Linked DNA regions of Mus musculus. The main gene of each other region encodes a partner of the protein of the gene in region 2 in a complex. Links are inferred from orthologs where the notes say so. Each region holds a gene or a part of one and is shown on either strand. Other genes may lie near its edges. The genes, in order: Drc7, Drc1, Drc3, Efcab2, Fbxl13, Tcte1 and Iqcd.

Region 1 (4,039 bases), on a different chromosome or scaffold from region 2:
TTAATTATATACACATGTGCACACACATTCATGTAGAAACACACACGTTCACTTTTCTTTCCTGGTTCAGAAAACTTGAACTTGGAATCTGTGTATGAACTCTCCCAAGGATAACCCCTGAAAACTCTTAGTCCAGACTATCTGCCCCACCCTCTATCTGGGATCCAGATCAGCTGGGTTGAGCGCCAGTGCGAGCCCTTGTGTGTGTGTGTGTGTGTGTGTGTGTGTGTGTGTGTGTGTGTGTGTGTGTGTGTGTAATGTTCTTGTGCCAGGCTGGTGGGGAGGTCTTTAGTATTCTCTGCCATGCAGCTAGTCTTGATCCATAAAGAGGATCCTCCACCTCGACTCCCACTCCTCCCTTCAGGTCCTGGAGCTGGGGCGGCAGCTCCCTCTTCTGTCAGGGCTAGGCCCCGATCCCATTAAGCCTGTAAAGGGTGCAGTGGGCGACTTTCCACTCTTCTTGGGTGACAGATAGTCAAGAAGAAAGAGAAGACGGTGCCTAAGAAATACTCCATCAAGCCGCCCCGGGACCTGACCAGCAAGTTTGAGCAGGAGCAAGAGGAGAAGAGAATACAGGAGATCAAGGATCTAGAACAAAGGCGACTTAAGGAAGAGGAAGATCGCATCCTGGTGGGCCTCCACGACACTGCACTCTGACATGACCCGGTGGGCCCAGTGGATAACATACCAGGGCCATAAGGCCTTCCCTTAAGATTCACTAAAGCGCTCCTTACCCATAGAATGTATTGCCTTTCTTTGGATGAAATCTCACCTAGGGTGCCCCAAAGAGTGAGCCACAGATCTGGTCACCTGCCCCACCCCCCACCCCACCCCCGCCACTGCCACCATTTTAGTGGTTGAAACCTGGAATTCTAAGGAGGAATGTTGGAAAGAGAGTTCCCCTTAGCTGGTGGTCACCCACCTTCCCTGTGCAGGAGGCAGAGAAAGCGAAGCCCGACCCCCTGCATGGCCTGCGGGTACACTCCTGGGTCCTGGTGCTGGCAGGAAAGCGAGAGGTGCCTGAGAGCTTCTTCATCGACCCTCTGACTGCACGCAGCTACAGTACCAAGGATGAGCACTTCCTGGGCATTGAGAGCCTCTGGAACCACAAGAACTACTGGATCAACATGCAGGATTGCTGGAACTGCTGCAAGGTGTGCCGGAGTCGGGAGAGGGGTGGGTAAAGACCGGGGATGGGGGGTTGTGGGGAGCCTGGCCACCTACCCTCTGATAGCAGGGTCTGGTGGAAGTCCCAGACTCCACACCCACAGCTATCAAGGGCCATTCTGGCAAGATGAACTTCACCAGTTTGCTATGTGCATTCTTTTTAACCCATATGCTTATTGGTTTATGCAAATGAACTCTGGGTGCAGGTTGTCCATCTAAAGGGCTAAGCACACTGTCCACCGAAGGCCCTGCTTCCTGTACCCAGAATAAGAAAGAATACGGCCCATCCCTCAGGAATCCTCTTGTGTAAAGTGCTTGCCACCGACCCTAATGACCTGCGTTAGATACTAGGGTCCGCATGGTGGAAGGAGAGAACTGATTCCTGAAAGTTGTCCTATGAGCTGCATATTCACACACACACACACACACACACACACACACACACACACACTCTCTCTCTCTCTCTCTCTCTCTCTCGAAAAGGTGCACAATTGTAAGGGCGCATCTTGTTAGATTGGTTTGTGATAATGAACTCCCCTACATACCAGCACCTGCCCACTCCCATCCAATAACCCCTCCACCCACAAGCTCTGTGGTCTAGCAGGTGCTTATCAGGTACAGGTTAATACTACAAAAACAAGGAAAAATTCCTTTATACAGACACTCTTCACTTGAGAAAGGATGCATACGTCCACAGGGAGACGTCACTGAAGGGCGGGGGTAGGGGCAGGTGGCATGGCCTATGGGGGTGGAGCCAGTGCTGACTTCTTAAGGGTCCATCATTTTGTTTAACACACTTGGTCGGCAGAGTCGTACGGTGCACGTACTCTTCTGTGTTGGGTTTGTCAAGTCGTGGAGATGTTTGAGAGATTTGTCCATTTCCTGCCGGGCAATGCGTTGCTCGTGTTTACTGTTCATTAATTCCCTGTTCTTGAAGCAAACCAGAACCCATTTTGCTGTTTTAGAGTGGCATGTTTAGGCCATTTCCAGCACGGGATTATTTGGATAGTGCTTCAGCGAGCACTTCCCTCCCTGCATTTCAGGGAACACATACATACCTGCCTCTGATGGATTAAGACTTGGGAGAGTCACCTATCATCTCAGTAGATTCTTCTCATTTTGCAAAAGTGACCGATTCAAAGCAGCACTCTGTGAGAGTCTGGACAGCCTCCTGCTCCTTACACTCAGTGTTTGCTTGGGGGAGTCTGAGATGAGGTCTCACTCCAGACCAGGTTGCCCCGGAGCCATGCCTTGTGCCTTAGCCTCGGGAACGCTGAGATTCCAGGTGTGCATAGCGAGGCCGCTTGTTTTTGCCATTCTGTGGGCAGAAGGTGATGTTACGTTGTTTCAAAACTACAACTGGCCTTTTGAAGACGGTCCTCATATTCAGAAAGTCTAAAATCTGTCTATTAACTCTAAGAATTAGAAAGACTCCAGGGCTGTTCTCTCTGGGAGGTCAGTTTTAATCCTTTTGTGGGTGACTTTCTATAAAATCAGTGTTGTTTCTTCTTTAGACGTCATCTGGGTCTAGAGTTCTCTTCCCCACCCCCACCCCCACCCCCAACCCAAGTTCTCTTTGTAGGATGTTTTAAATGACACATTCAGTTTGGATAACGTGTTTATCTGGCAGTGCTGGAGACAAACCCCAAACCTTGAGTATTCCAGGCAAATGCTCTGCCATTGAGACTTATACACCCAACTCAGGACATTTATTCTTGAGTAATTTCTGGTACTTTCTTTTTCTTTTTTTTTTTCTTTTTCTTTTCTTTTTTTTTTTCTTTTCTTTTTTTTTTTCCTTTTCTTTCTTTCTTTCTTTCTTTTTTTTTTTTGAAAATTTGGTCCCTTTCGTTTAAATTTTCAAATTATTGCTATAAAATGTTAATAGCTCCTTATTTTTCTTTTACTATTTTAAAGACTCTCTCAATCTTGACACTGATAATGTAGTGATTTCTCCTCTAATGAGCTTGGTTAGAGGCTTTTCAATAGTGTTGGTTAGAGGCTTTTCAATAGTGTTGGAATTGTCAACAAACTAGCTTTTGGTTCTGTTGATTTTTTTTTTTCATATAGCTTTGTTTCATTTATTTCTGTTCTGATCCTTATTATTTTCTAATGTTTGTTTTATTGATTAGTTTCTTAAGGTGAAAACTTAAGAAATGAACCTGGCTGGCTTTATTTTGCTAGTAAGGACCTTCATTTCACTCCAGCGACTCCCCCGCCCTTTTTCCCAGTTCAAAAATTCTCTCTCCTTTTCCTTTTCACTTATCCTCTGATCCATGAGTCATTTTAAAATGTGGTGTTTCAGCCAGATGGTGGTGGCATGCCCATTTAACCCCAGCACTTGGCAGGCAGATCTTTTGAGGCCAGCCCTGGTCTACAGAAGGAGTGCCAGGAGAGCCAGGGCTACACAGAGAAACCCTGTCTCAAAACAAAACAAAACAAAACAAAACAAAACAAAAAAACAAAACCCCAAAAAACAAACAAAGGTTCTGTTTATAGACATGTAGATGTGTTTCCCAGTGATCTGTCTATTTTTATTTCAGTTTTTAATTGTATGGTTTTTAGAGAATGTTTACCATGTAACCCCCACTATCTTCTTACAGCTTGGTTGTTGGTCCAGCTTATGCTACCTCTCAAATGTTCTGTGAATTTAACTAAAATGACTATTTTTTGAGGCTGACTAGAAGGTTCTGTTGGATGTCAATCTTCACAAGCCTGTTGATGGTGCTCACTTCTTCCCTGGTCTTCTTTGCTGGTTTTCTATATTCTAAAGCTCCTGCCTGACATTATCTGCACCCTGGATTAGAATGTTGGACTTCTTTGTTTCTTCTATTGGTGTTGGCTTCAAATATTCTAGAAATATGTAATGTAGTGA
Region 2 (4,039 bases):
GGTGTCTGATCGTTCCGCCCCAGCTAAACTAATGGGATGTCTGAGAAGGAAGTCAGGAATGCCTTTTAGAAATTCCAGAGAGGCCCTGTGTGGGGTGCACTGATGATGTGACAGAGAGGAAGTCATCAGAGCGGAGACGGGAGCAATGCTGCTGACTATACTGTCACTAAACAAGACCACAACTTCCCTTTGTTTTGTTTTGTTCTTTCAAGACAGGGTTTCACTATGTAGCCCTGGCTGTCCTGGAACTCACTCTGTAGACCAGGCTGGCCTCAAACTCACAGAGATCCTCCTGTCTCTGTCACCCAAGTGTTGGTATTAAAGGCTGGGATTAAACTTCTTTAGTGCAGGGACCACAACATGAATATGATCCTGTACCTCACTGTCCAGCTGAGAGCACACAGGACCTATTACAGTGTTTCTTTTATAAGCTATGCCTCTATGTGCCTAATTCTGAGCTATCTGTGGGTTTGGTCACTTAATTGATTTAAATGTTGAGCTTCTTAGTTGATTTTGGGGGGGTGATGGGGGGCTTCTGCCTTCACCTCCAAATCTTCACTCTCATGTGGCCTTTAAACAACGCCTCTAAATCTCAGCACAGTAAATGCACCTTACAGCATGACTTCCGGTGACTAAATGTATGCCAGATAGCAGAAAACAAGCCACACTGTTTCCCAGTGTGTTTACCAAGACCAGAGAAGCCCAGATAAGAGGAAGAAAAGCTAGTGTTTCCCTCACAAAGCATCACTTTGTCACTAAATGCAGTTTTATCTTTGCCTTATCTGAGGCTGGCGTGGCCTCTGCAGGTTAAACACTGGGTGGCGCTCCAAGCCCAGGTTTCCATCAATCCTGCAGCAGCTTTAGCGCCACAGGAAAGTTTGCTGACCGAGGCAAGCATTGACTTCAGGTGCATGCACACACCCCCACCTCCACCCCTACGCTCTGCCAGCAACTCCTACTCAACAGGCTTCACCTGCAAGAATCATTCCCAGGGCTGTAGGCACCATCTGAGCCGCACCTGCCACTCCCAGACATGTTCTGAGATTGCACGCCTCTGCCTAAGATGCCTACGCGACAGCCTAAACCTTACTTGGCCTTCCCAGTGCAACCCAAAATTCCTGCTGTGTTTTCTCCAACCGAAAGCCTCCTCCTGTGACTTCCTACATTCCTTGATCTCCTTGATCTCCTTTTTAGAACAGACCGCTGTTAAGTGTCCCGTGTTGTCAGAGGCAAGGGACCGACCGGCCCTCCATTCACACCCACACAGCTTGGGACACTTGAGGAAGGGAGGGACGAGGGAAGAAGCGGGGAAAGGAGGACGGTGGGTTCACACGGAGCAGGAAGGGGATTCCATGAGACCGGGTTGGACAAATTTTCGCTCCAAGGACTGGGAGAGTGGAAGGGCAGTCACGTGGCGACTGTGGCGCACAAAGGCAGCACATCCCTTACCTCTGCCGCTTTGTCTCCTCCTCTTCAACCCTCCTGTGGATCTCTCTGACGTCTGCAGCCACCTGAATATTTGTCACCAACTCGGTCCCGCAGAGCAGGAGTTTAGTCAGTTTCTGGAAAACAGAGAGGCGGCAAGCTGTGAATCTAGACTATTCTGGGCTATTGAGATGGCTCACTGTGTAAGCTTGCTGCCAAGCCGCGAGTTCAACCCCGGGACCCGCACTGTAGGAATCAACTCCCACGCCACAAGTCCTTGGACTGCCACAGGCAGCACAGCACATACATCCCGGGGCACATAAGTAGAGACGTTAAATGTAAACAGAGAGAGAGAGAGAGAGAGAGAGAGAGAGAGAGAGAGAGAGAGAGAGAGAGAGAGGAGCACAGTGGCTTATGTCTTTAAAACCAGAGCTCAGGAGGCAGAGGCAGGTGGATCACTGGTTCTAAGGCCAGCCTGGTCTACATGATGTTTTGTTTTGTTTTTTCAGACAGGATTTTTTCTGTGTAGCCTTGGCTGTCCTGAACTCCCTTTGTAGACCAGGCTGTTCTGGAATTCACAGAGATCTGCTTGCCTCTGCCACCCAAGTAGTAGGATTAAAACAGGCGTGTGCCACCCACCCAGCCTTACACAGTCAGCTCCAAGCCAGCTTGCTTTGGGCTCTCTGCCACCCTACTGACTCCTCATTTACATGTGGTTGGAGATCTGAAATCTAGTCCTTGTGCTTTTGACACAAGCACTTTACCCCAGTCATCCCCACCCACCCAACCTGCCCCAATTTCTCACTTGTTTGTTTCTGAGGCCTGCTCATATCATATCCTAGGCCAGTCTTCCAGCAGAGCACTCCTGTCCCCGTCTTGTGGGTACCTGTACTTACGTGCCATCTTTCCTGACAGGAACCTACAGTTTGAAAGCTCACTCCTAGGGAACCCCAAAACGAGACAGCCCCATCTAGAGTCAGCAACACAGAAGGTATACTTCCTGCCTATGAAAACCAGGCTACGAGACTCTGCGACCGCCGGCTCAGCTCGTACCAGGCGGCTCTCTTCTTTCTGTTTGTAGCTCTTGCTCTGCTCCTCCTCACTCTCCTTCTTCCCGTCCAAATACTCTCCCAGGGCTTCCCTGTGGCAGGAAGACATCAAGGCAGGACAGTGCAGTCATGAGTGTTTGTGCTTTGTGTTTAAACACACGCCGTTAATCCCAGCACTCGGGAGGCACAGGTAGGTGGATCTCTATGAGTTCTGCGGCCAGCCTGGTTTACAAAGCCAGTACCCAGGGATATATAGAGAAATCCAATCTCAAAACAAACAACGACGACAACAACAACAAAAATCCCACACTACAAGCAAATAAAAGAGAACAGAAAACCTTAGGATACAAAGCCCATCTTTGAATAAATCTAGTCAGGTGAAAAGGACAGGATGCTATCAAGTCCCCATGATGGTTGGAGCCATTAGTTTGACAGAATCTAGAATCACCTGGGACAGGTATCTGGACTGTACATGTGGGTTATCTTGAGGATCTGGCTGGGATGGGACGTCCCATCCCCGCTGTAGAAAACACCATTCCCTGACTTCTGCCCTTGACTCCCCGGCTGTGGACTATGAGCTGAAGTAAATTCTCTCTCTCAAGTTGCCTTTGTTGCAGGAGCAGGATAAGCAACCGAGATGATGCCTTGTAGCTGGCATCTCCTCTGTGTGGCATTTGGACACCAGCTGATGCCATCTGCCACACTTTTCTCTGACTCCTGCCCTCAGGCTTCATATTGGGTTCCAGAAGGGAACAGGTATGCTTGGTAAATGGGCTTTGACAGACACTAAAACCAACCCAGGGCGGCATGCACTTCCTTATCGTTGGCAGGCCTTGCCTCACTGGCTGGTTCTACAATAATAATCAACTAGAAAGCAACAGTCTAAGACCTGCCAGCTACTCACACTCAAAACCCTCGAGGTCAGAGCAGATGCCCAGCCTTTGCTGTCACTGTCAACTGACCTTTCCAATGGGTGGCTGGGCAGGGACCTTCAGGACCCCTCAGCATAGACCCCAGGTAATCCAGGGTACATTGTGTCTTAAGGTTTCTATTGCTGTGAGGAAACACTAAGGCCAAAAGCAAACTAGGGGGAGAAAAGGGTTTAATCTGTTTAAGCTTCTAAGTCTTCATCGGGCGTGGTGGCACATGCCTTTAATCCTAGCACTCAGGAGGCAGAGGCAGGCAGATTTCTGAGTTTGAGGCCAGCCTGGTCTACAAAGTGAGTGCCAGGACAGCCAGGGCTATACAGAGAAACCCTGTCTTGAAAAACAAAAAACAAACAAAACAAAAAAACAAAAAAATCTTAAGTCTTCATCGGCAAAGCAAGTCAGCACGGGGACAAAAACAGGGCAGGAACCTGGAGGCAGGGGCTGATGCAGAGGCCATGGGGGGGCGGGGAGGCGGGGCTGCTCTCTGGCCTGCTCAGCCCACTTTCTTATAGAACCCAGAACCACCAGCCCAGGGATGGAACCACCCATAATGGGCTGGGTCCTTCCCCATCAATCACTAATTAAGAAAATGTCCTACAGCCCAATCTTAAGGGGGCATTTCTTTAACTGAAGTTG
Region 3 (4,642 bases), on a different chromosome or scaffold from region 2:
TCTAACTCCTTACACTACTGACAGCTGCTCTGATTACTCTACTACCACTTTATGTAGTGGGAGAGCAAGAGGCAATGTAAGGAGACGCTTAATATCAACAAGGAAGATTCAGAACTTTAGAACTTGAAGAGTCCCACCACATCTTATCTCCAAATACCCCGTGTGGCAGACAAGAGAACGTCAAAATATAAAGCGCACAAGGTCAGGAGGAGCGTCCCTGGCAAAGTCACTACTGGAGTCCAAGTTTCCGGGATCCAATGGACTGCTTATCAACAAAGCAGCCCTGCCTCCCTTCTTTCCTAGGAGGCCTAGGAGATTCTGCCGCCACGCCATCCCCCTGCCAAGCCAGTCACTTTCCCCGAGGGCCTCCCCCATCCCAGTCCCTCCTACAGCCTGACTGAGTTGCAGCTCAAATTAGAAGTCGTGCAGCATGGGGCATTTTCTGGGAAAGTGCCCAGCCTCAGAGCCATTGGTACCAATGAGCAGGGACAAGGACGGAAGAAAGAGTTCCATTCCACAAAGGCTCCGGGAGACAGAGGCCCTGGGAGCAAAGGCAGCGAGATACCTGGGGAAGAGTACTCGCAGTGACATCTCCCAATACGCAAGGGTAAGCAGACTAGCATGGACACTACTTCTGGGGAGAGACTTGAAAGGCTGGGCCCTGATGGGCAGGGATGCCGGGGACCTCTCTAAGTCCAATCGGCACCTCGGGGGAGCCTCCTTGTAGGGTGAGGTGGCACCAGCGTCAGGCAGAGGCCTCGTGACAAGGATGCCCAGTCCACCTTTGAGATGACACCACTTATTGGCAGAGGCCCAACCCGCACGTGAGGTGATTTCAGTGCCGGGAGGAGGCCCGCGGATCTCACCAGCCCGGTCAGCCGCTGTGGCTCACTCGACGCCTGCCCCACGCGCGGCCTTACCAAGACACTGCCCTACAGGGGTGCTGAACGGATTCCCCAGCAGGAACTCCATCTCGGCGGGCCTCGTTCCAGCCCGGACTCCTGTGTGCCACGGGTCTCCGCTGCCCGCGCCGCGTTCTGCCCTGACTGACACTTGCCCCCGCCCCACCCTCCGGAACGCTGAGCGCCCGGCCTGACCTCGCCCTCTGGGTGCATCTCTATTGGGCAGCGTCTAACCAGCCCACTTCCGATTGGACGACACTCCACTCTCAGTGAAGTCCCACCCACCCCGCGGCGTCCGATTGGGCACGAAGCAAGCTAAGTCACTAGGGTCTCCGTCAGCCTAGCGGCACAACCCCCGGACCCGCCTCCAAACGAGTGGCCGTTCTTCTTGATTCATTAGCACGTTGGTCAGTCTAGAGAATCTTTACTATTATTGGATAAAAGGTGTGTCAATCGTTTACATAGGCGGGCAGAAAGAAAGCGTAACTAGAAGTTGAAGCTCGTTGACTGTGCTGATTGGAGAAACGTTTGTTTTCTTCAAGTCTGGTTGGTGTTAGAAATATGGCCACGTGACGAATCAACTTTCACCCAGGATATTTATCGCTTGACTTCCCCTTAGCAACCAAGTGGCGGTGTTTGGTTCCCCAGCAACCAAACGAAGCGTCTACTGCAAGGGGAGACAGTCCTTAGGAAGGTAAGAATCAAGAGTTTAGCTCCAGAAGATTAGAGGTTGCATGATTGAGGTCTGTCTTGTAACTCTTCTTGGAGGACTCCGACCTGACCCGTCTCATCTGTAAAATGAGCACACATGTCATTTTTACACTTGTACTGAGACTTAATCGGGCTTTTGAAAAAGAAAAGAGCGTATAAAATCTTAAACTAGCAAAAGCAAGTAGGAAAAGGGTCCATCAGCCAGTTTCCTGGCCTGATTCGTTTCACTGAAAGAGAGGTACCCGATACACTGATAACTCATTCTAGAGTTTGGCTGTTATATCCATCCTCTTGATCTGCAATAAGGTATTTCATTTGGTGCCGTATGAAGTGTTTGCGATGAGAATAAAGATATCAAGGTTCCATCTCAGTCTCTGTCAGTAATTCACTCTATGACTTTGGTCACAGACCCCCCCCCCGGCCCCCCACATACACACATACCTCAAGCCTCAATTTCCCTATCTGGGAAGTAGGGACACTAAGATGTCCCTTTTAAATAGCTCCCAGAACTGGCATGGAGTTAAATAAGTGGAGTGCACTGAGAGTACGACAAGGACTTATTCTCATCAGTTGCTTTTATTCTCATTACTGTGGGACTCATAGGGTCTACATAGTGTTTCAGGTCCAGCTAACCCAGGCTGTTGTTTCCCAGGTAAACCAGTGACGAGGCTACCTGGTTGATTTGTTTGTAAAGCTTTCTGCTGCTTCTCCACATCCTACCTCTGGTCTTCACCAAGGACACTATCATCAGGCAAGTCAATGGGACCCCCATTTGGATAAATTATTGACATCCTCCCCATAGGGGAGGATTCTTTGGGCCTTGTTCTGTAGGCAGAGAACATGTGACAATGTCTGTCCCTAGTGTGCTGGGTACAATAGAGTTGTGATTAAGAAAGTGGATTCTGTGTTAGACATGAGGTCGTGCCTCTTGGTAAATCTTCATATTAGTCAATCGAGAAATTTCTCTTACAGAGATCCCTACTGTGTGCTTTCATAGTTCCATACACCCACTAACCTGTCAATGTTTGTAAGTAGATATTGGGATAATTTATTTAATTCAAGTGTGGTTCAGAAGTCAGGCCACACCTCTTCAGTATCCTTTCACAAGGTTGGTTATAGAGAGCCGCTCTGACCTTGTAGCTTTCACAAAGTTCTCTCTTTCACTCCTTACAGATGTGAGCAAACCCAGCTTCCCCTGATTCCTGGGCCAAGACATACCTGAATTGCAACTTTACTCTCTTAACTAAGCCTGCCACCGTGCCAGGAGTCATGTAGACTAGGTCAGGTCAGGTCACATGGTATAGAACTAAAAGCCACCACTGTCGTTGTCCCCCCCCCCGCCCCCCAAAACTGTGAGTCGTAAGTCCCTTTGTTCTCTGGATCTGAGGGAGCTAATGGAACTGGAAGATTTGTCTTTCTCTTCTGGGCACCATGTGGCTGCCAAGATTCTGATGCAATCTCTCCTAGTGCCCTCTCACTTCAGGGCTCCTCATGGCTGTCTGTGGCCTCGAACCTCTGACTCTCCTAGCAAAATTCTTCTGGAGGGCAATTGATTTTAGCACTACTCCTCTTTCAAACACTATTATTGGGTCAATCAATTACTTTAGCTTAGGCATAACCTTCCAAACTAGATTTTGTCTCAGACCTTCCTATAAACTAAGTTCCTAGTGATGTCCCACCCCTCTGTATTACAACCACTCTGGTCACTCACTTTCCCCTCCCCTCCCCTTCCTTTCCTTTCCATTTTTGTTTGTTTGTTTGTTTGTTTTGACACAGGTCCCTCTGTGTAGCTCAAGCTGGCCTCATACTATGTAGACCAGGCTGGCCTCAAAAAGTCACAGGGATCTGCTTGTATCTGCCTCCCAAGCGCTAGGACTTGCACCACCACTCCTGGCTAGCCTCACTCCTTTTGTAATTCTTGCCACAACAGCTATAATAAAAACTAAAATCCGATCCATCTTCACCTTACAAGCCCTAGGAGCTTGCCAGCCATTATGGAATACAAATGCAATATAGACCCTGTATCACTTCTGCTTTCCAGCTTGGGGTCTTCACTGGGTTATCGTCTCTTCTTGCTTTCTTTTCTTTTTATCCCTCATATTGTATCTTCCCTGATCAAGCCAACTGACCCTACTAGGTGTTTTCACCATTCCCCACACCTACTAAGATGTTTGTAAGTAAATGCTGGTATAACAATTTAATTCAACTCTGAAACAAAGGACCTGTCCAAGGCTCACAGCATGTGGTAGTTATTTGATATGGATGTGTGGACTAAATACAGGTCCTTTCTTAGACAGATGTAAAAAAAAAAAAAAAAAAGAAAGAAAGAAAAGTAAAGAAAAAAAAAAAAAGCCAGGCAGTGGTGGTGCACATCTTTAATCCCAGCACTTGGGAGGCAGAGGCAGGTAGATTTCTGCGTTCGAGACCAGCCTGGTCTTACAGAGTGAGTTCCAGGACAGCCAGGGCTACATGGAGAAACCCTGCCTCAAAAAACAAAAAACAAAACAACAACAACAAAAAAAATTGACAGATGTAGAGTGGGGAGTTATCTACCTAACAGGAAAAAGACTTAAGCCGGTGACGTTACTTTTCAAAAGATACACAGTCAGAGGCAAAGTCCTCTCTGGGTGTAAACATTTAGCATAGTTCTTGCACCAATCCTATACTGCACAGAACCTGCTGAGCTGGACTGAATGCTATCTAGCATGACTGAAAGCTAGTTTGACCTGTCACAGTTAATGGGCTTTGATGAAACAGAGGTCAAAGTTTTGACACCAGAATTGAGTCATTTCCCAAAGCACAACACCCAAAAAAAAAAAAAAAAAAAAATTCCATGTACTTTTCAGATAACATCTGACAAATGAACCACTTTAAAAAATTTCCCCAGAGGTAAAATTTTGAGGTTAGTGGTAAATTATGAGGAACTTTAAGGGAAACTGTTTAGGAAGAATAGGATGCTGATGCGCACAACAACTGCTTGGGAAGACTGAGTCTGTCATTCGGTCACACTGAGGAAGAAGAATCAGTCA
Region 4 (4,540 bases), on a different chromosome or scaffold from region 2:
ATCCCTGTTCCCCTTCAATAAACAAAGTTTGTTGTCCCAACTGCACAGGATGTGCTTGGTCACATCCAGGCAGGAGACGCACAGGCAGGAAGGAAGTCAGGATGTATGCTTGCCCCAGTGAACCAAGGTGGAAAGTAAGGAGTTTCATGAGCCTGGCCTAACAGGCACCTGAAGGATGGAATTCATCACCATTTCTGTAAGAATCCCACATAGGGACATGGCCAGTGTCCATCTTCCTGGCCAGTATTTAATAAAGCTTACTTCAGTTGGACAACCATGGATTCCATCTTCCTCATCACAATTTTCAGGTTTAACATTCACCAGACTACTTTCCATGAAGCAAGCATTAAATATATAAGAAATTGAATATATGAAATCCAGCTTTCAACAGCCATTACTTCCACAGTTAGTTGCAGACTGAACTGTTTTTTCTCCTAAACTTACACTAAACATTAAAATATGTTTTGGAAACTAAAGAAACAGAAATTCTGTCTGTCTCTGTCTCTCTCAAGCAGGGATAACAACTGTAAAAATCAGGCTGGGTGTGGTGGCACACAGTTTTAGTCACAGCACTCACTCAGATGCAGACAGGTGCATCTCTGGGAGTTCCAGACCAATCAAAGCTACAAGGTGAGATCCTAAGTGTTGTGTGTGTGTGTGTGTGTGTGTGTGTGTATAATTTTACATTGTAAAAACTTGCAGTATACTCCAATGCTACCCTAAATAAGTCTTTAACTTAAAAAGAAAAGGAGGGGTCTGGAGAGATGGATATTTGTTCCCACTGTGTTAATAACACCTATTGTGTCTCTAGTTGTGGTGTGTTTCAGCTTTAGCATATGCATTTATCCAAGAGTTCTCTGCTTGAATATTATAAACAAAATTAAATAAAGTCAACCATAAGTTAAGAGGTGGAACAAGCAACCAATTGACAGAGAGTAAACATAGGATTATTTAAAAAAAAAAAAAAAAAAAAAAAAACAATGTCTGGGACACTGGCTGAGGAGCAGGGTCAGCTGGGTGCTTTCTCTGCTTCTCTGAGCTAGCAAACTTTCACCACAGATTCTGGCTCCCGGGTTTTCATTGGTAAAACCAAATGATTTAGATTTTGTTTAAAAAACAAAACAAAACAAAAAAAAAACCCAAAAAACAAAAAAACAGATGGCTCAGAGGTTAGAAGCACTACCTGCTCTTCCAGAGAATCCTGGATCAATTCCCAGAACACACATGGCAGCTCACAACCATCTGCAACTCCAGTTCTGGGGGATCCGACACCCTCACAAGGACATACACAAAGGCAATACACCAATACACATAAGGTAAATTAATTTAAAAAATAATTCATCCCCTAATGATTTTCTCCTTTACTTTTTTTGAGGGGGGTAATAAAAGTATAACTAAAAAAAAAAAAATACTTTCTGGGGAAGCTTTTTTTTTTTTTTTACCTAAAACTTTTTTTTTTTTTTTTTTTTGAGACAGGGTTTCTCTGTGTAGCCCTTGTTGTCCTGGAACTTACTTTGTAGGACCAGGCTGGCCTCGAACTCAGAAATCTGCCTGCCTCTGCCTCCCAAGTGCTGGGATTAAAGGTGTGCACCACCACCCCCGACTCACCTAAAACATTTTTTATACAACATATTTTGATCATATTCTTTCCCTTCCCCCAACACCTCACCGACACTCCCTGCCCTCTAACTTCATATTCTTTGTAAAAACAACAACAAAAAAGTAGAATAAAACCTTCCATTTCTAAAATAGCACCACAAAAATCTTGATACCTTAGTAGAGTTAAAACTCTATACTACAATGCCGACTTCTGAGATTAATTTTACCATCTATAAATCACAGGTCATCAATAAGATCTCTAGCTGCCAGGAGTGGTGGCGCACGCCTTTAATCCCAGCACTCCGGAGGCAGAAGCAGGCGGATTTCTGAGTTCGAGGCCAGCCAGGTCTACAAAGTGAGTTCCAGGACAGCCAAAACCAAAAAAAAAAAAAAAAAAAAAATCTAGGGTCTCAAGTTTCCCTGCTGGGTTCCTGTAATCACCATGACAATGGACTAAACAACTCGTGTAAATATTAGTTGTTAACCTAACTACTGTGTTCCAAACCAGAGGGTGGGGGTGGGGGTGGGGGAATACAAGAGGGAGGGGAGAGAGTCAGCAAAGATGGAGTGTTACTTTCACTTTTTTTGCAATGTTTGCCATTTACTATTTTAGGGCTTGCTTGACTATTTATTTAGCGGTGATGTTGTCAATTTATCACGTAATGGCTGTTGAGTCACAGATCCGATTTTAAGTCATTCGGCTGGGTTAGCAACAATTCAAAAGGTCTTGCAGTTCAACATGAAACATTAGTTTTTCGGGTCCCCTGAGGCCTCTCGGGTACCCGGCCGGTCTGGGCGGCCCGACAAGTCCCGGCTGGGTTTTCTTTAAAGTGATTAAAGTGCGTGTTCCTTATGCAAGGCTCTAGCGCGACCCGGGCCGCTAGGGCCCAGTCTGACCTGGAGGCTGCGCTCCGCCTGGCGGAGGAGGAGGCAAAATGGAGGCGGCTGGGGCCGGGTTGGGCCGGGCTGGGCGGGGTTTCGGCACAGCCGCAGAGGATCCCGCCAGGTTCTAGTCGCAGCTCCAGTCCTCCATGAGGCCGCCCTCCGGGTTACCCACAGCCCACCCAGACCGCGGCTGGCGCCCTCACGGGGAGGGGAGGTGCCAGGGACAAGGACGCCATTATGAACCTCCCCGGCGGGGGCTACAACAGCCCGCGCAGACCTCTCGAGGGGACGGGAGGGCGGACGGTGGGGACGCGGGCTGGCGCCGCTTTTCAGCCCACTGTCGCCACGCCGAGGGGCTCAAGATGTTGGCCGGGGGGCGCTTCCTCAGGCGCAGAGGCGACGTCGTGGCACCCCAGGCAGGGTCCTACCTGTCCCTTCCGCGTCCCTTTCCTCCGCCATCTTGGTGCGGAGCCGGTCGCCCGGGAGACATCCAGCACGAACCCTGCGGGACCCCGCGGGCGGAGAAAGCCCCTGGATGCACGGTGGCCCCCCGATCCCCGCCCCCACCAGAACCGAGGCCCGCGTTCTTTGGGCCTAGGGGCGTCATTTATTAACAAGGCTCCGGAACCCGCCTGGGCCTGATTGTGACTGTCAAGGACGTAGTGTGCCTTGCTTATTTCTTTATTCATTTCTTTAATTACTTATTTTATTCAGCTTTTTTTTTTCCCGGCCGTCTCAGGTGCGCCCCAGAACCGGGCGCAGACCTGGCGGCCCCTTACACGGTCCCTCCCCGAAAAGCGTCCGCCCACCCCAACCCCACCCGAGCCAGGCCTTGTGGCTCTCTGGCGTCACCCTCTCCTGAGCGGAGCCACTCTGCCAGTCACGGAACTGGAGCGAAAACGGACATGGGCCAGTGCAGGAGGAAGCCCAGCCTTTCCCCGGGATCGCAGAGAGAGAGAGAGAGAGAGAGAGAGAGAGAGAGAGAGAGAGAGAGAGAGAGGACTTGCTGTAGAAAAACATGTGCAAAATAGGCGCAAACACTGCGTCGCCAAGGCTGCAATTTCTGATACAAAATAGTGTTCTCATAGCAACAAATAAATTGACGGTCTGTTCTCAGGGATACACACATTTTGTATGTTGATGGTGCAATTTGGCATGACCTTCCGATGAGAATTTTGAGTACTGAGAAACTTGGCTATCGCGTGTTTTGTTATTTGATGGATAAGCTCAGAATACTAAGATTCTCCCTTAAATGAAACCCCCCCAAAACAAACAAACAAACAAACAAACAAAAAAAACCCAACAGTTTTGAAATGTCTAACAATGTGACTCAAATTAATATCTAGTTTTAATCTTTAATGATAATTTCATGGTATATGTGTACTTATTTAAATATTTTTGTAAAAGTAACTAAATGTAGAGGCCTTTGTTTTGTCTTGATTTTTCTTTAATATAGTTATTTATTCACTTTACATCTCAGTATTTTATTTTTTATTATTAGTTTTTATTCATCGAAGTTCTGTAATCTCAGTGAATGAACCCTCAAAGCAGGCCAACTGTACTCTTCATTAAAATATTTTTTTCTATAGGCAATAAAGATTTGATGAAGTGTCTAACTACAATTTGAATAATCAGAAAATGGTGCATATCAAGCAAATTTCCCCAGCACTCAGGAGGCAGAGGCAGGCAGATTTCTGAGTTCGAGGCCAGCCTGGTCTACAGAGTGAGTTCCAGGACAGCCAGGGCTACACAGAGAAACCCTGTCTCAAAAAAACAAAAACAAAAACAAAAACAAAACAATAAAACAAAAAGAAAGAGAAAGAAAGAAAGGAAAAGAAAGAAAAGAAAGACTTCCAAGATGAACTCAAGCATACAGTAAATTAATCACCCCAAAATATGGAAGAGTAATTTATATTAATATTTTATTTATTTTATATTAATATTTTATTTATTTTATATTAATATTTACATTCTGTGTGTTCCCCTTACTCTCCCTGAAGATGAAGGACTTTGTAGCAAGTATGGGAAGGAAGAGAACTGTCCCTTCCTGATGGAA
Region 5 (4,039 bases), about 8.8 Mb from region 2:
TGCATAGCTCTTACTATAATAGAAAAAGGATAGATGATAGTAATGGAAGGGATATTCACAAGATGTTATTAGTGTCCATTTGTTTAATTAGATGTCATGATTATTAACAACAGGGAAATGACTCTTTTCCCCAGTTTAAAATGGACTCTTAGCTTACCTGCGATTCGTCTAGGCTCCTCCCAGGCACCTAGTGGTGCATCCTAGATAATCAATATTTTTTGAATACCATGAATGTCTTCTTACCTTATGCAATTTGTCAAGTTCAACACTGTCAATTGCTTCAAAAGTGAAAGTGACTTGAGGCTGCTGTCTGTTAGCCCTTTGCAGTCCACCATGTAAATGTGATTGATGCCTGGATAATTCCTGTCTATCGACTTAAAGCACGCATCAGAAATCCTTTTGTTTCCTGTTGGAGGAAATACAAGTACTATATTTCAATGTACAGGAAAGAAAAATTAAAAATAAGGATAAATTGAGTTTCTAGCGTCACAGACCTTCAAATCGAATCTTTTTGAGGTCGCAGGAGGAAAGAGCTTTGAAAGCAGAGTCAGAGATGTGTGGTGAACCAATTAAAACCACCGACGAAATACGGGGACACTTCTCAACCAAAACCTTCAGAAGAGGAAAGAAAGGAGACAGGATTACTGGAAGAAGGAGACAGCGAGGGGATAGTGTCGTCTCCCTGCATTTTTTTTAGAAAGACAAACATGCTGACTATTGCATTTTCCCAATTTTAAAGCAAATAGGACTGTTTTCATATTTGATGAAACCAATATGCTCATGTTTCAATACTGAGGAGAAATGAAAATGAAATCATGTTTGGAGAGCATGGGCAAACATGAGGAAATGGAGTGCAGAGTCAGTCAGTCGGCAGTTTGACATGGGGCATCAGACTTAAGCCAAGCAGAGCTGAGGCTAGGTCGTAGTTAGTTGGGAGGATTTCCAGTGTGCTTTGGTTTTATCTTCATGAAGATTGAAGCATTCAAATGTTTTTTGAGATACATGCATGTGTGTATGTGTACATATTTAAATGATTTCCTAGCTATTAATCAATACAAAGAAGAAGTCAATTCATAGTTTTCAATAGCTAAGGCTATTGGAATGTGTGCTCAGATAAGAGAAGGGAGAGGCTCTTCCTCATGGCCCACTTTTACGCAGTTGTCCGTCAGAGTGGGCATGTCGTTGATAGTAAGGTGCACAATCCCCGTGCAGCTGCTGGCGATGTTCCTGAAGCCTTGGACTGAGATCTGAATCACACGGGAGAAAAGCGTGGGAAAGGTAATTAGCAGGCCGTTCATGATCACCAGATCACAGATGCATGAAGTTTCCACGTTTTAAAATTAAAACCATGGGCTGAAAGTGCTTGCTGTCAAGCCGAACAGCTCAGGTTCAAGACCCGGAGCTCACAGGACAGAAGCTAGAACTGACTCTAGCATTTAGTATGAATGCAGCTACACAGTGTTCAGCCTTTTGTACATAGCTATTGTACTCTGAACTCAGCAAGATCCATGTGGCTCATTCACTGCACATGTGCACAAGCACGCACGCACACACATTAAATAAATAAATGTAATTTTTAAATAAATAAACCTGAATTAAAACCATAAAATAGGACTGACATGACAGGAAGGATCCAGTCCTGATTGTTTTTGTCATTTAATTCATGTCCTAATGAAGTAAAGCTCACATAATATAGACAATTTTTTTTTTTGGTTTTGTTTGTTGGGTCTTTTTTTAATATGTATTTATTTATTATATGTAAAGACACTGTAGCTGTTTTCAGACACACCAGAAGAGGGCATCGGATCTCATTACAAACGGTTGTGAGCCGCCATGTGGTTTCTGGGATTTGAACTCAGGACCTTCAGAAGAAGAGTCAGTGCTCTTCACTGCTGAGCCATCTCTCCAGTCCTAGACAATGTTTTATAGTCACCACCTGTATCATCACAAAAACACCTTCATAAGCCAAATGGAAAACATGAGCAACCAGGCACCTGATTGTCACAAACCCCTCCCCTTGGTCACTAATCTGTTTTCTGCCTCTTTGGGACAAATAACTATATGATAAATTACCTTAAAATAATTAGTTCTTTAAGATGGGGAACACTTGGTACTCAGCTGTATCTGGGAGAAACTGAGGACTTCAGGGAACAGATGGATGCCTGTGACATGTCATTTCCACAGTAGCGTGGCACAGAAAATGGGAGTCGCATCTACAACAGACTTCTTCCAAGACCTTCAGAGAGACCTCACCCAGGGGACTCCCAGGGTTCTGTCACCAGAGCCTCGCCTACTGGCAAAGGACTAGCGAACAACTACAGAACTGAAAGCCACATTCTCAAAACAACCAGAGCTCATTTCAAATGTCACTTCTTCAGGAAGAGCCTGGACCAGGTTTCTCTTATACACATACAACACCATGGAACATCCTAAACTGGTTTATGATTAGCTATTGAACCAATGCTACTCAGTTTCTAGCAGGCCACCACCCATGACACCAGGTAAATAGACAATCAACAAGTATGATTATATATATGATCAGACATACAAATATTTGAAAGATTCAGAGAATCCTCTTTGATACATGCTCCTAATCAGCAAATTTTGACAACCTTGAGTCCAGGGGCTGAATACACAGAGTTGCTGCTAAAGCTGTTGACTTTGGATGTGAGTATATTGGGATAATCTAAGTAACTGTTCTCGCAGAGCCCAGGGTAGCCTTGGACTTACTTTATAGCTGATTATTTTGATCCTGTACCATCTTGGGTGCTAGAATTACATGTATGTCCACTACGCCCAGTTTATACACTGCTTTGGAACTTTGTTGAGCTAGGTTAAGCACTAAGGCAAGCACTCGCCATCCTCAGAAGTAGAATCTAGCAATAGAATATTCTAAGGTCTAGAAAATATATGTATCTTGGGTCAAGAGTTCTTCTTGAACAAAATTATCCTAAGAAAAGAGAGTTGCCTGCTGAAATGGCCCTCTGAAACTGTAAGCCAGCCCCAACTAAATGTTTTCCTTTATAAGAGTTGTCTTGATCATGGTGTCTCTTCACAGCATTGGAAACCCTAACTAAGACAACAGGGAAGCAGTTTCTGCTGCCAGGGAGCTTGTCAGAAATATAGATCCACTTAGAACTAAAGCTGAACAAATTCTAAAATCTGTAGGTCACTTGCAAGTGCATCATTGTTAGAAAGATATGTAGTGTGAAAATGTATTAGTGTTCTTCAGAGAAACTCAGATGCCTGTCTAAATCTCTGAAGAGAAAGATTCACTTTAAGAAATCAGATCATGCCTGGTGTGGTGGCACAGGCCTTTCATCCCAGCACTCAGGAGGCAGAGGCAAGCAGCTCTCTGTGAGTTCAAGGCCAGCCTGGTCTACATAGTTCTAGGAAATCTAGTTTTGTTGTTGATTTTTGTTGTTGTTGTTGTTGTTTGTTTGTTTGTTTGTTTTAAAGAAAAAAAATCGGATTGCTGGATACTAAGGGCTGGCAGTCTGAAATCTATAAACCAGAGACAGGAAGCTGAAATTTCAGGAATTGTAATTTTGAATCAAAAATCAAGAAAGGTTGTAGTCTTCAGGCAGAATTCCATTTGCTGGGGCAAAGCTCCGTCTTCCTCTTGAGGCTGACTTTACCGTCTGAGGCTCACCCACGTCAAGAAAGGTAGCCCATGTGTAAAGCAAAGCAATCTAAATGCTAGGGAGGAGTTCTGTCCTTCTGCTGCCTTACACATGGTAAGAAGCATTGGGAGGAGGCGTGCTGGCCTTGGCTCCGGTAGCAAGAATCAGCTTAGTAGATAAAAAGGGAGAGAAAGCCATAAGAAAGGAGGAGACATTTTGTATTGTTGCCGTGGATTCCTGAGGGAATTTTTCATGACTTCTTCCAGGGGGGAAAAAGCCCAGGGAGATGAATGAACACGAGAGGAAGAATGGTTCAGAGCTCCCTGGCCCTACCCCTCCCTCACACAGCAGTGGCTATACAAGTACGTAGCACACACAGGACCCAGCCATGCACCATCAGTCACGGTTTGGCCCCT
Region 6 (4,697 bases), on a different chromosome or scaffold from region 2:
GTCCAAGTAGAGGCTGATGGAAGGAAGGACAGCTGTGTGTCCTTGAAGGAGCAGGAGCCCCACTGCTGAGAGTCACTTTCCCGGACTTAGAGCCTATCTGCAGCAGCAGAGGACGGAACCTAGTTTGGCTGGGGGGGTGGGGGTGGGGTGGGGGGGGAAGAGAGAGAGAACCAGCAACCAGGAAAGTCAGGGTGACGAAGCCCCTGATCTGCCGGTCTTGCAGGTCCTGTCCTTCTCCTTTGTGACCACAGGGTGTTGAACATTGCTAGGCTCGCTGGGGAGTGAAATGGAGAATTCCTAAATCAAGGAAGTTTGAAGTTAACCTGACCTTATATGAAACCCTGTCGAAAGAAAAAAAGAGAAAGGAAGGAAGGAAGAAGGGAAGGGGGAAGGGAGGAGGGGAGGGAGGAAGGAAGGGAGGGAGGGAGGGAGGGAGGGAGGGAGGAAGGAAGGAAGGAAGGAAGGAAGGAAGGAAGGAAGGAAGGAAGGAAAGGAGGCTACCCCAGTTTGATTGAGGAGAAAGATGGGAGGAACCAGGGGAAAGGGAGAGACAGGCATAGCTGCTTACAGCATCTGCTGGTAGGCCTTAGTCTGGCTGGCTAGCTCCAGGCTGCCCTGAGGATTCTGCAGGGATGGACAGAAACCTAGATGACCAGATACTCCGGAAGACCCACTGAAGGAAGATAGCTCCAGAAGGGACAGGGCCCAGTGCGGGCTGGAGCAGTGGTTGTCAACCTATGGGTCTCGACCCCAGAGGGTCCCATAGCAGATATCCTCATGTTTTATATTTACAATCCATAACAGCAGCAAAGTTACAGTTATGAAGTGGCAACGGGATAATCTTATGCTTTGGGGGTTTACCACAACAAGAGAAAATGTTCTAAAGGGTCAGCAGCATTAGGAAGGTTGAGACCCACAGATCTACAGACTCATCTTCCTTGAGAGCCTGTGGGGTGGGGAGAGAAATGGAGTTTAGTACTCCAAGGTCCCACTCCTTTCTTCATGTCGGGGATTCTCTTTGGCATTTCAGACAAGCTGGGGCCACCAGAAATGCATGTGTCTTGTGCTGCTGTGTGATGTCCCCACTCAGGGCAGTCTCTGCCCTCAGAACATAGAAGTGGGAGGTGGGTCATGACTTTAATCTTGGGGTCCGTCTCAAGGACCTGTAGGCTTTACATAGCTGCGTCTCTAGCATCAAGTGCAGCCAACCAGGACCACTATTGGCAGGGAAAGGCCATTCTTTCTCTAGGTGTCCCTGTCCTCGGGACCAGGACAGGGGTATAAAAATACAGGACACAAGGAGTCACAACATAAAGGGCTGGGAATTTCTGGGCCTTGGTAAAAGTAATAAAATGGTGTCCCATTTTGGCCGGGGCTGTCCTCATTTTGTATGGCTTTGTATATGGTGGACAGGTGGTCTGGGATCATAACCTTGGCTCTGTGTAGCTATGATTTATTGCATTCTAGACGTGCAATGGCAGATGCCCACAGGGGGCCGGCCCTACAGCTGCTGGCTGAGCGCTCAGGCCTTGGACTGTCTCCAGACACCCCCCACCCCTTGCCTCTCACACCTCAACAGCTTTCAGGGGCATCACCTGTCAAATGGAGACAGTCATTAATATTACCTTCATCACCTATCATCCACTGTAGGTGATTTAGGAGCTAAACTGTGTGACATTTCACACAGGCTTGGCCTGGAGCTGGCACTCGTTAGCAGCCTCCCCTATACGAAGCTCACTAAGCCCTCATGTCCATTATTGACATTTGTCACCATAACACCATTGCCCACACCTTACAAAAGAGGAAACTGAGGCTTAGAAAACTGAAGAGATTCGCTGTCACCAAGCCAGCAAGCCAGACGGACTGCTTATCTGCCCCATGGGCCCTCTTGCTTCTCTGAGGTACCCCTTTCTCACCTCATCTCAGTTCCAGAAAGGTTTCTGGAACTCCCTCCCCCCGTGGGTTCTCTGGTCACCACTGTGGAGCCCCAGCCTTCACCTACTTCGCTGCCGAGACGCTTCCCTAAGGCTGGATTGTGGCCGACTTTGGCTTGAGGTCTCCACAAGGGCCCAAGAGAATGTTGCAGGTTTGCTCTTCTGCCCTGCTCACGCTGGGAGCGCATGTTGCTCACAGACTGGGTCAAGCTTGGATCTCTCCCTCATATTCCTTCCCTTTTCATCCTTCTTCAAGTCCCCAGTAAAATCTGGCCACGTCAGGGAGGTTCCTGCCACTACTCAAATGGGCCTGTCACGCCCCATGTTTCTCTGCAAGTGTAGCTGTGGTGGTCTGCTGCAGGGGCAGGTTAGGGTCTCCATCCACCTCTCTGCCAGCTTCCCACCCACGCGTACCCCATGCTCCCCACAAAGAGCCCTCCTTGGGTCTCAGGTTCCTGTATTCAGAGCCCTGGGCTTTTGTTTACATCTTCCCTGCCCTCTATTGCCCAAAGTCCTGTTGTGAAGTCCCAGTTTATGGGCTGAAGGAAGAGAGAATTTAAAACAAACAAACAAACAAACAAACAAACCAACCACTGTTTTTCTGAGAGCCCAGGTTTGGTCTCTGGCTCAGGGAGATAGCTTGTTCATAGCTTCTGGGTCCTCCCCATCCTAGCTCAGGCATCTGTAGTCAGCTCTATGGAAAGGGACACTTGCAGTAGCTCTACCCACGACTCCAGCCTCCTCTCTTCTCCTCCCCTTGGTAACTCAGAGAGACCAGGTCCATGGGGGACGTGCAGAACCCACAGGGCCTGTAGCATTGTCCTCAGCTGAGGATTGGGGACTCTCCTCTTCCCAGGTCTCCCCATTTCTTTACTTGAATTCTAGACCTCTAGACCAGTTTACAGATAGTCGCTGTGTGGAATGCAGAGCCTGGATCCCACCTCTAGAAGACAGGCGTGATGAGCTGGGGGCTTCATGTAACTGCAGAATGGGTTCTCCCATTACAGGACATACGAAGCTAAGATGACGGCTGCGGGGCCATAGACCCGCGTGGGTTGCAGGAGCTGGCAGGGCTTTGAGCTTAACCAGCATGGTCTGATTGGGGAGATCAGAGTTGGGGGTCCCTTTCCCGGAGGTCACCTCACCTGCTCTGGGGACCCAGGAGACTGCTCTCTGAGGCGGTTGGCTTGGCGCAGTTGGTTGTTAGGGACGCCTGAGTCGCCAGGGGGCGGACCCTGAGCCCTCCGCCCTGGGCGTTGGCGCCCTCCTCCTCGGTTGCCCCTAGTGCGCGTGCTCAGAAAACGACCCTATGCTCTCGGCCTCCGCTCGTGCTTTCTGGCTGCGTGTTTCGGGATGCATTAAGGTTTTCGCGTGGCTCTAGAGGATGTACTTCTGATAAGGAGTTGGGGGGCGGAGGGGGGGAGGAGAAGAAGGCCCAAGAAAAACAAAGGAGACAGGGGAAGCGAGGGACTTTCTACAGTTACTTAAGCCTCTGGAATTCCCCTGTGGTCGAGCTGTGGACCCCAACTCTGCTGGGGAGCCCCTTCGGTTATCTCTAATGTGAACCAAGTATCAGAGGCAGGAAGGGCCTGGGCCTCCAGAGCGCTCCTTCGCTCAGCCTGGCGGAAGCTCTCAAGGCAGGAGAGACGACTCCGGGGATCAGGCTATATGGAATAGAAGAACTCATTCTCTAAAGCAGAGGGACAGCAGACTGTGAGTGTGCGTGTGTGTGTGTGTGTGTGTGTGTGTGTCCGTCTGTCCTAGGAAAGCAAAGTTTAGCTTTAAGCTAGCTTCTCTGGTCAGATTGCCTCTGTTGAAGCCTCAGCTTGGTGGCCACGAAAGAGCTGGGCCCGCGGTAAAACCTAGTAGACCAACCTACCACCAAGGTCCAGCGGTCAAGCCATGCAGTGAGGAGCCATGCTTCTGTCCCCATGTCCCTTCACGCTCTCACATGAGGCTTACAAACCATCGTGTGTATAGTCGGTGGATGATCTTGATTCTGCTGCACATGCCTTGCTTCTCCAGAGCCCGGATTACAGAGAGTGGAATCGTGTTTCTGCAGTGCTGGGGAATTGAACCCAGGGCTCAGTCCATGCTTGGTACTGGGCCACCGGAGCTACATCCTCACTCCAGATGCTTACATGGTAGTCAGTGTGCACTCTGGCACCGTGTAGCCCCACGCTTCGGAGTTAATACAGTGTCAGGGAATCCTTGCTATGAAAATGTGCACTCCCACTGCTGTACCCACCCCTCACTCCTGTGTCTAGGTAGAGCTCTGCCTGGCAGCTTTGTTCTGATAGAGGAGGGTCTTCCCTACATTCCTTGGCTCCACTGTGCTTCAAATGCTGGGCTTCGGTCTCAGCTGCTCTATTTGCGCATGCTTCTGTGTGTATAGATAGGTGCACAGGTATGTACATGCATGTGGCGGGTGACCTCAGGTGCTGTCCTCCTTGAGAAAAGGTCTTTTGCTGCCCTGGAGCTCAAAGACCAGGCTTAGTTAGATGGCTCGTGGAACTGGGGGAATCCATCCCCATCCCCCCCCCCCCCCCGCCCCGTCTCTGTGCACTCTTCCCTGACTGCACAGCTGGGAGATTATGAAGGTGCGCCACCAAGGCTGGCTTTTGTGGCTTCTGCCACTTGAACTTGGGTCCCCATGCTCAAAGAGCAAATACTTTATTGAGCAATCTGCTCAGGCCCGGCTTCAGTTGTTTTCTGCTTCAGCTCCACCTTGGGGCACGTGCTAAATTTAAAAAAAAATATTTA
Region 7 (4,039 bases), about 90 Mb from region 2:
TTGTGATCAAAGGCATGCACCACCACTGCCTGGCTTAACTTTATTCATTTACTTACTTACTTACTTACTTACTTACTTACTTACTTTTGGAGTTTTGAAAATATACTTAGGCAGGCCTTGAACTCTCAGCCATCACCCTGCCTGCGCCTCGTGGGTGCTGGTCTTAGCAGATACCACATCTCCTGAAACTTTCTGTACTCTGTATTTTGAAGTTATTGTTACAACTCTGCCCCAGTTTTCAAATCAATACCCCCAAAAAACTCACCCGGCCAGGATCAGGAGTGGTGGCTGTCTTGGGAAAGTACCTGCCACACAGGCATGGTGAGCTGGGTTCCATCCCCAGAGCTCACACGAAAAGCCAAGGACGTAGGCAAGAGTTTGTAATCTCAGCCTTGGGGAGGTGAACCCACTGGCTTGCTGGCGGCCAGCCTGCCCAAGCTGGTGAGGTTCCAGTTTAGCCAGAGACCCTGTCTCAAAAAGTAAGGAGACAGATGAAGAAAGACACCTGATAGTGATATCTGGCCTGCATGGGGACATATAATATGTAGAAGTGCACACATGCACATGTACACACATGCACACACTATGCATACCTGATCACAGATGCTCCCGGTGTGTGCTGGTACACAGTCATCCACCCTGCTTGGCCTTGCCCCTGTTCAGCTCTGTCCATGTCCTGTCCTATCCTGTCCTACTCTGTGTGACCTGTCCTCCTGTGTCAGTGTCTGCTCCTATTCTGTGGCCCATCCTGCTCTGTCCCTGTCCCGTCCTAATGTTCGGCATGTCCTGCTCCTTGCCCCAGACTCCTCCGCATCCTGGCCTGATGATGTGGTACACCAGTGGCCCAGGCTCTTGAGTTGGTTTCCTGCTGGTTTAGCATCAACGTGGGGGGGGGGAATGCAAGTTGGGGCTAGGACATTTCCACTCTCTGATCAGACAGTGCTTGCAGTCACAGCTGCAACTCCTCTGGGGTCTACTGCCCCTGGTGAGCCCAACACATGTGGCTTCCTGCTGCTGGAGCTGCTGGGTGACCTCAGTTGCCTGAAGCTGTCCTCTCTCTGTTTCTGCCTCTTGGGTAACCCTTGGAGGTTGGTCCCCAGAACAGAGGCTGCTTTTTGCCTGATAGATGTGCCTGCAGCTGCCCTCCACCCTCAGGCCTCCTACCCCCACCCCCGCTGGCTCAAGCACCATCACGAAGCCAAAAGATAAGCTTGCCAGGGTGGTACACGCCTATAACCGTAGCCCTCAGATCGGGAGGAAGGGACAGCCTAGGCTATAATGGACCATATCTCCAAACCAAACCTTGAAGACAAAAAAGCTAAAAGTAGCTTTGAGGTTCTGTACAGTGGTCATCATGGCCAATGGCGATGTACCTCACAGTCACCCCTTCCTCTGCAGGGTTACTGGAGGCTGTGAAATCCAGGAGAGCCTTGAGTTGGCGGCTGCCTCAGTACCAGATTATACCGAGGCAAAGGCAGCCTCTCCAGAAATGGCCTTGGACCAGGTCAGCATACCCCCTTCCTACCACGGACTGGCCATCCAAAGAATCCCACTGAGAACAGGTCTAGTCCCAGCAGAGCCGATGAAGACCTTAGTCCCATCCAAATCCAAGCTCAACACCATCGAGGCCAAGAGGATCATGTCAGTCCTGGATGAGGCCATACACAAGATAGAGCTGATAACCCTGATGTCCTACATGGAGTCCCACCCAGAGGCTCTGGAGGACACGCTGCCCGAGGATTTCGTGAGAGCCCTAAGAGAGCACTTGGACATTGGCCAGACCCTGGTGGAGAGGGCCAGCATCCTGCAGAGGAGACACAAGAAGCTGGAGGAAGAGGAAGAAGCCGAGGAAACTAGGAACCAGGAACGCCTACTGTCCCTAGAGCTGCACAAGGTGAACCTGCTGACGCTGGCGCACCAGTTCCGAGACTCCACCAAGACTGTCCTGAGGCTCGTGCTGGGCGAGCCTCAGTTCACCAGGCTGTTACAGGTACAGGCGCCAGGCAGAAGCCCGGGGGCCCAGTGCCTCCTCGACGGTCTGGTGGAGCTTCGAGGTTTCCTCTTTGAGAAGCTCCTCACCAGCCCCATGGAAGTCAGGGAGAAGAACCAATTCATACAGGACATCAGCCGGAGGAGCGAGAGGAACCAGGAGGTCATCGATGACCTCCAGGCTGAGCTGGCCAACGTGCTGAAGAACAAGGAGTCAGAGGTACACCTCCCTAAGGCATCCCCCAAATTAGGGGAGAAACCTCACCCAAACAGGCCAACCCTCTGGGATTTGCCTCTTCTCTCATGGGTTTCAATAGCTCTCTCCCTTCATTTAATCCTCAGAAATTGTTCTGAGCATTTTCCTAGGAGGTCTGTCTGTAGGAAAAGCCCAACCTCCGGAGCTCAAGGAAGGACAAGGGCAGGGCGCTATCAAGGGATGATGTAAGAGAACTAAATCCTGGCCAGAAGGACTAGGGACAGCGCCACTAAGACAGGGAGGACACAGAAAGCGGGATTGAGCCAGACAAGCAAGGCAGACCTTCCCAGCCAGGGGTTGGCAAAGTGTCTGTGTCACTGGCTAAGTGGGTCCTTTGTCTCGGGTAAGATAGACACCAGACATGTGGGGGAGGAGTTGGAGAGATGGCTCAGAGGTTAAAAGTGCAGGCTTTTGTCTGTTGGAGTCAGGGTCTCACTCTACAGCCTTGACTGGCCTGGAACGCCATAGAATCCCACCTGCCTGTGCCTCCCAAGTGTTGGGATTAAAGGCATGCGCCACCACTCCCAGTACACATTGCTCTTACAGAGCAACAGAGGTCAGTTCCCAGGCCCTCTGGCCAGCTGCTTGCAAACACTGTTTACTCCAGCTCTCCCGGGGAATCTCACGCCCTCTGCTGGACACCACAGGCACCTGCATTCACTTGCATGGGGCCAGGCATGGCTCCGTGAAGACAAAGCCTTCTGTGCGAGCCAGGGGATTTGAGTGTGGGCTCCAGAGCCACTCTGTTCCCTGAGACTGGGCAGGCAGGGACAGGAGTCAGTGGCCCACCAGCCTAGCATAGCCAACAAGCTCCAGGCCAAAGAGAGAGGTGTATGACAGTTGAGGCTGTACACACAAAGGCTGTACACACAAGCACACACATGCACACATGCAGGCCACTCTATAGCTGTGAACACAGAGCTGTGACATCCAAAGCTTCCGCAGGCAGCTTAAAGTGCACCTGTACCTGCATTCCAACCAGCCCCACCCCCACCCAGATTTTCCTAGAGAGCGTATTAGAATGAGTCTCAGATCTGTTGCATCTTGGCAGCTGTGGGTCGTCCATGGCTACTGTCTTCCTGCACACACTTGCCAGCTTTCTTTCTGGCTCCATATCCCATCTCCAAAGGGTCACACATCCCACACACTGGGCTCAGTGAGCTAACGGTCTCAACATGTCTCTGTTGTTAGTGTGGAAGCAGCCATGGAGAGTATCAGGACTGAAGGGCTGTGTCCCAATAATACTTTATTGACAGCTATGGCTGGCTGGATTTGCCCTGTAGGCCTTGGCCAACCCCTTTCCTAGGGGAGGGGAGCATGTGGTCCCAGGCCGGAGAGACGCATAAGCCCCTAGGGGAGGGGCACAACCAAAGGCCAGCTGTCCTGTGACTGGGAGTGGGAGGACTGCGTGGCTATTAAATAGGGCCCTGTCCTCATTCGTCCTGGCCTAGGTGGAGAAGGAGAACTTTGTGATCCAGGAGCTGAAGAACCATCTGCACCAGGTGTTCAAGTTTTCGGAGAACAGCCTCCTCCGCACGAAGCAGGAGGCCGAGAAGCAGCAGAAGGTGGATTTCCGGGCCTCCCAGGTCAGGCTGGCCAAGACGCAGCAAGATATCCTGGCGCTTCGGGCACAGTACCACAACCTGGTCATGGAGAACCGGGAGGCAGAGCAGGCACTAAGGAAGGTGCCCTGAGGTCTCAGGGGTACAGTGGGGGTGGGGGTGGGGGTGGGGGGCAGCAGGGCTGGCCCAGGGGTGCGAAAGCCCAAGATAGGTGGGATCTCCTGGGAGGTGG

The links.
Region 1: Drc1 (region 2) and Drc7 share a complex: the UniProt entries of both Homo sapiens proteins name them as parts of the nexin-dynein regulatory complex. The link is inferred for Mus musculus from reciprocal best matches to the Homo sapiens genes DRC1 and DRC7.
Region 3: Drc1 (region 2) and Drc3 share a complex: the UniProt entries of both Homo sapiens proteins name them as parts of the nexin-dynein regulatory complex. The link is inferred for Mus musculus from reciprocal best matches to the Homo sapiens genes DRC1 and DRC3.
Region 4: Drc1 (region 2) and Efcab2 share a complex: the UniProt entries of both Homo sapiens proteins name them as parts of the nexin-dynein regulatory complex. The link is inferred for Mus musculus from reciprocal best matches to the Homo sapiens genes DRC1 and DRC8.
Region 5: Drc1 (region 2) and Fbxl13 share a complex: the UniProt entries of both Homo sapiens proteins name them as parts of the nexin-dynein regulatory complex. The link is inferred for Mus musculus from reciprocal best matches to the Homo sapiens genes DRC1 and FBXL13.
Region 6: Drc1 (region 2) and Tcte1 share a complex: the UniProt entries of both Homo sapiens proteins name them as parts of the nexin-dynein regulatory complex. The link is inferred for Mus musculus from reciprocal best matches to the Homo sapiens genes DRC1 and DRC5.
Region 7: Drc1 (region 2) and Iqcd share a complex: the UniProt entries of both Homo sapiens proteins name them as parts of the nexin-dynein regulatory complex. The link is inferred for Mus musculus from reciprocal best matches to the Homo sapiens genes DRC1 and DRC10.

Annotation. Positions count from the first base shown.
Region 1 is NC_000074.6:95,061,242-95,065,280, forward strand, and holds part of Drc7 (dynein regulatory complex subunit 7), read left to right. Parts: intron 1-471; coding exon 472-630; intron 631-935; coding exon 936-1,154; intron 1,155-4,039. UniProt on the Homo sapiens protein: Component of the nexin-dynein regulatory complex (N-DRC) a key regulator of ciliary/flagellar motility which maintains the alignment and integrity of the distal axoneme and regulates microtubule sliding in motile axonemes.
Region 2 is NC_000071.6:30,340,191-30,344,229, reverse strand, and holds part of Drc1 (dynein regulatory complex protein 1), read right to left. Parts: intron 2,567-4,039; coding exon 2,479-2,566; intron 1,563-2,478; coding exon 1,450-1,562; intron 1-1,449. UniProt on the Homo sapiens protein: Component of the nexin-dynein regulatory complex (N-DRC) a key regulator of ciliary/flagellar motility which maintains the alignment and integrity of the distal axoneme and regulates microtubule sliding in motile axonemes.
Region 3 is NC_000077.6:60,351,837-60,356,478, forward strand, and holds the start of Drc3 (dynein regulatory complex subunit 3), read left to right. Parts: upstream 1-1,543; 5' UTR 1,544-1,596; intron 1,597-2,265; 5' UTR 2,266-2,364; intron 2,365-4,642. Other genes in the region: Tom1l2 (TOM1-like protein 2), read right to left, coding at 921-972. UniProt on the Homo sapiens protein: Component of the nexin-dynein regulatory complex (N-DRC) a key regulator of ciliary/flagellar motility which maintains the alignment and integrity of the distal axoneme and regulates microtubule sliding in motile axonemes.
Region 4 is NC_000067.6:178,404,506-178,409,045, reverse strand, and holds the start of Efcab2 (dynein regulatory complex protein 8), read right to left. Parts: upstream 3,029-4,540; 5' UTR 2,944-3,028; coding exon 2,913-2,943; intron 1-2,912. UniProt on the Homo sapiens protein: Component of the nexin-dynein regulatory complex (N-DRC), a key regulator of ciliary/flagellar motility which maintains the alignment and integrity of the distal axoneme and regulates microtubule sliding in motile axonemes.
Region 5 is NC_000071.6:21,523,306-21,527,344, forward strand, and holds part of Fbxl13 (dynein regulatory complex subunit 6), read right to left. Parts: intron 1,248-4,039; coding exon 1,149-1,247; intron 613-1,148; coding exon 495-612; intron 407-494; coding exon 244-406; intron 1-243. UniProt on the Homo sapiens protein: Substrate-recognition component of the SCF (SKP1-CUL1-F-box protein)-type E3 ubiquitin ligase complex.
Region 6 is NC_000083.6:45,521,954-45,526,650, reverse strand, and holds the start of Tcte1 (dynein regulatory complex subunit 5), read right to left. Parts: upstream 3,218-4,697; 5' UTR 3,080-3,217; intron 1-3,079. UniProt on the Homo sapiens protein: Component of the nexin-dynein regulatory complex (N-DRC) a key regulator of ciliary/flagellar motility which maintains the alignment and integrity of the distal axoneme and regulates microtubule sliding in motile axonemes.
Region 7 is NC_000071.6:120,598,630-120,602,668, forward strand, and holds part of Iqcd (dynein regulatory complex protein 10), read left to right. Parts: intron 1-1,398; 5' UTR 1,399-1,489; coding exon 1,490-2,209; intron 2,210-3,696; coding exon 3,697-3,930; intron 3,931-4,039. UniProt on the Homo sapiens protein: Component of the nexin-dynein regulatory complex (N-DRC), a key regulator of ciliary/flagellar motility which maintains the alignment and integrity of the distal axoneme and regulates microtubule sliding in motile axonemes.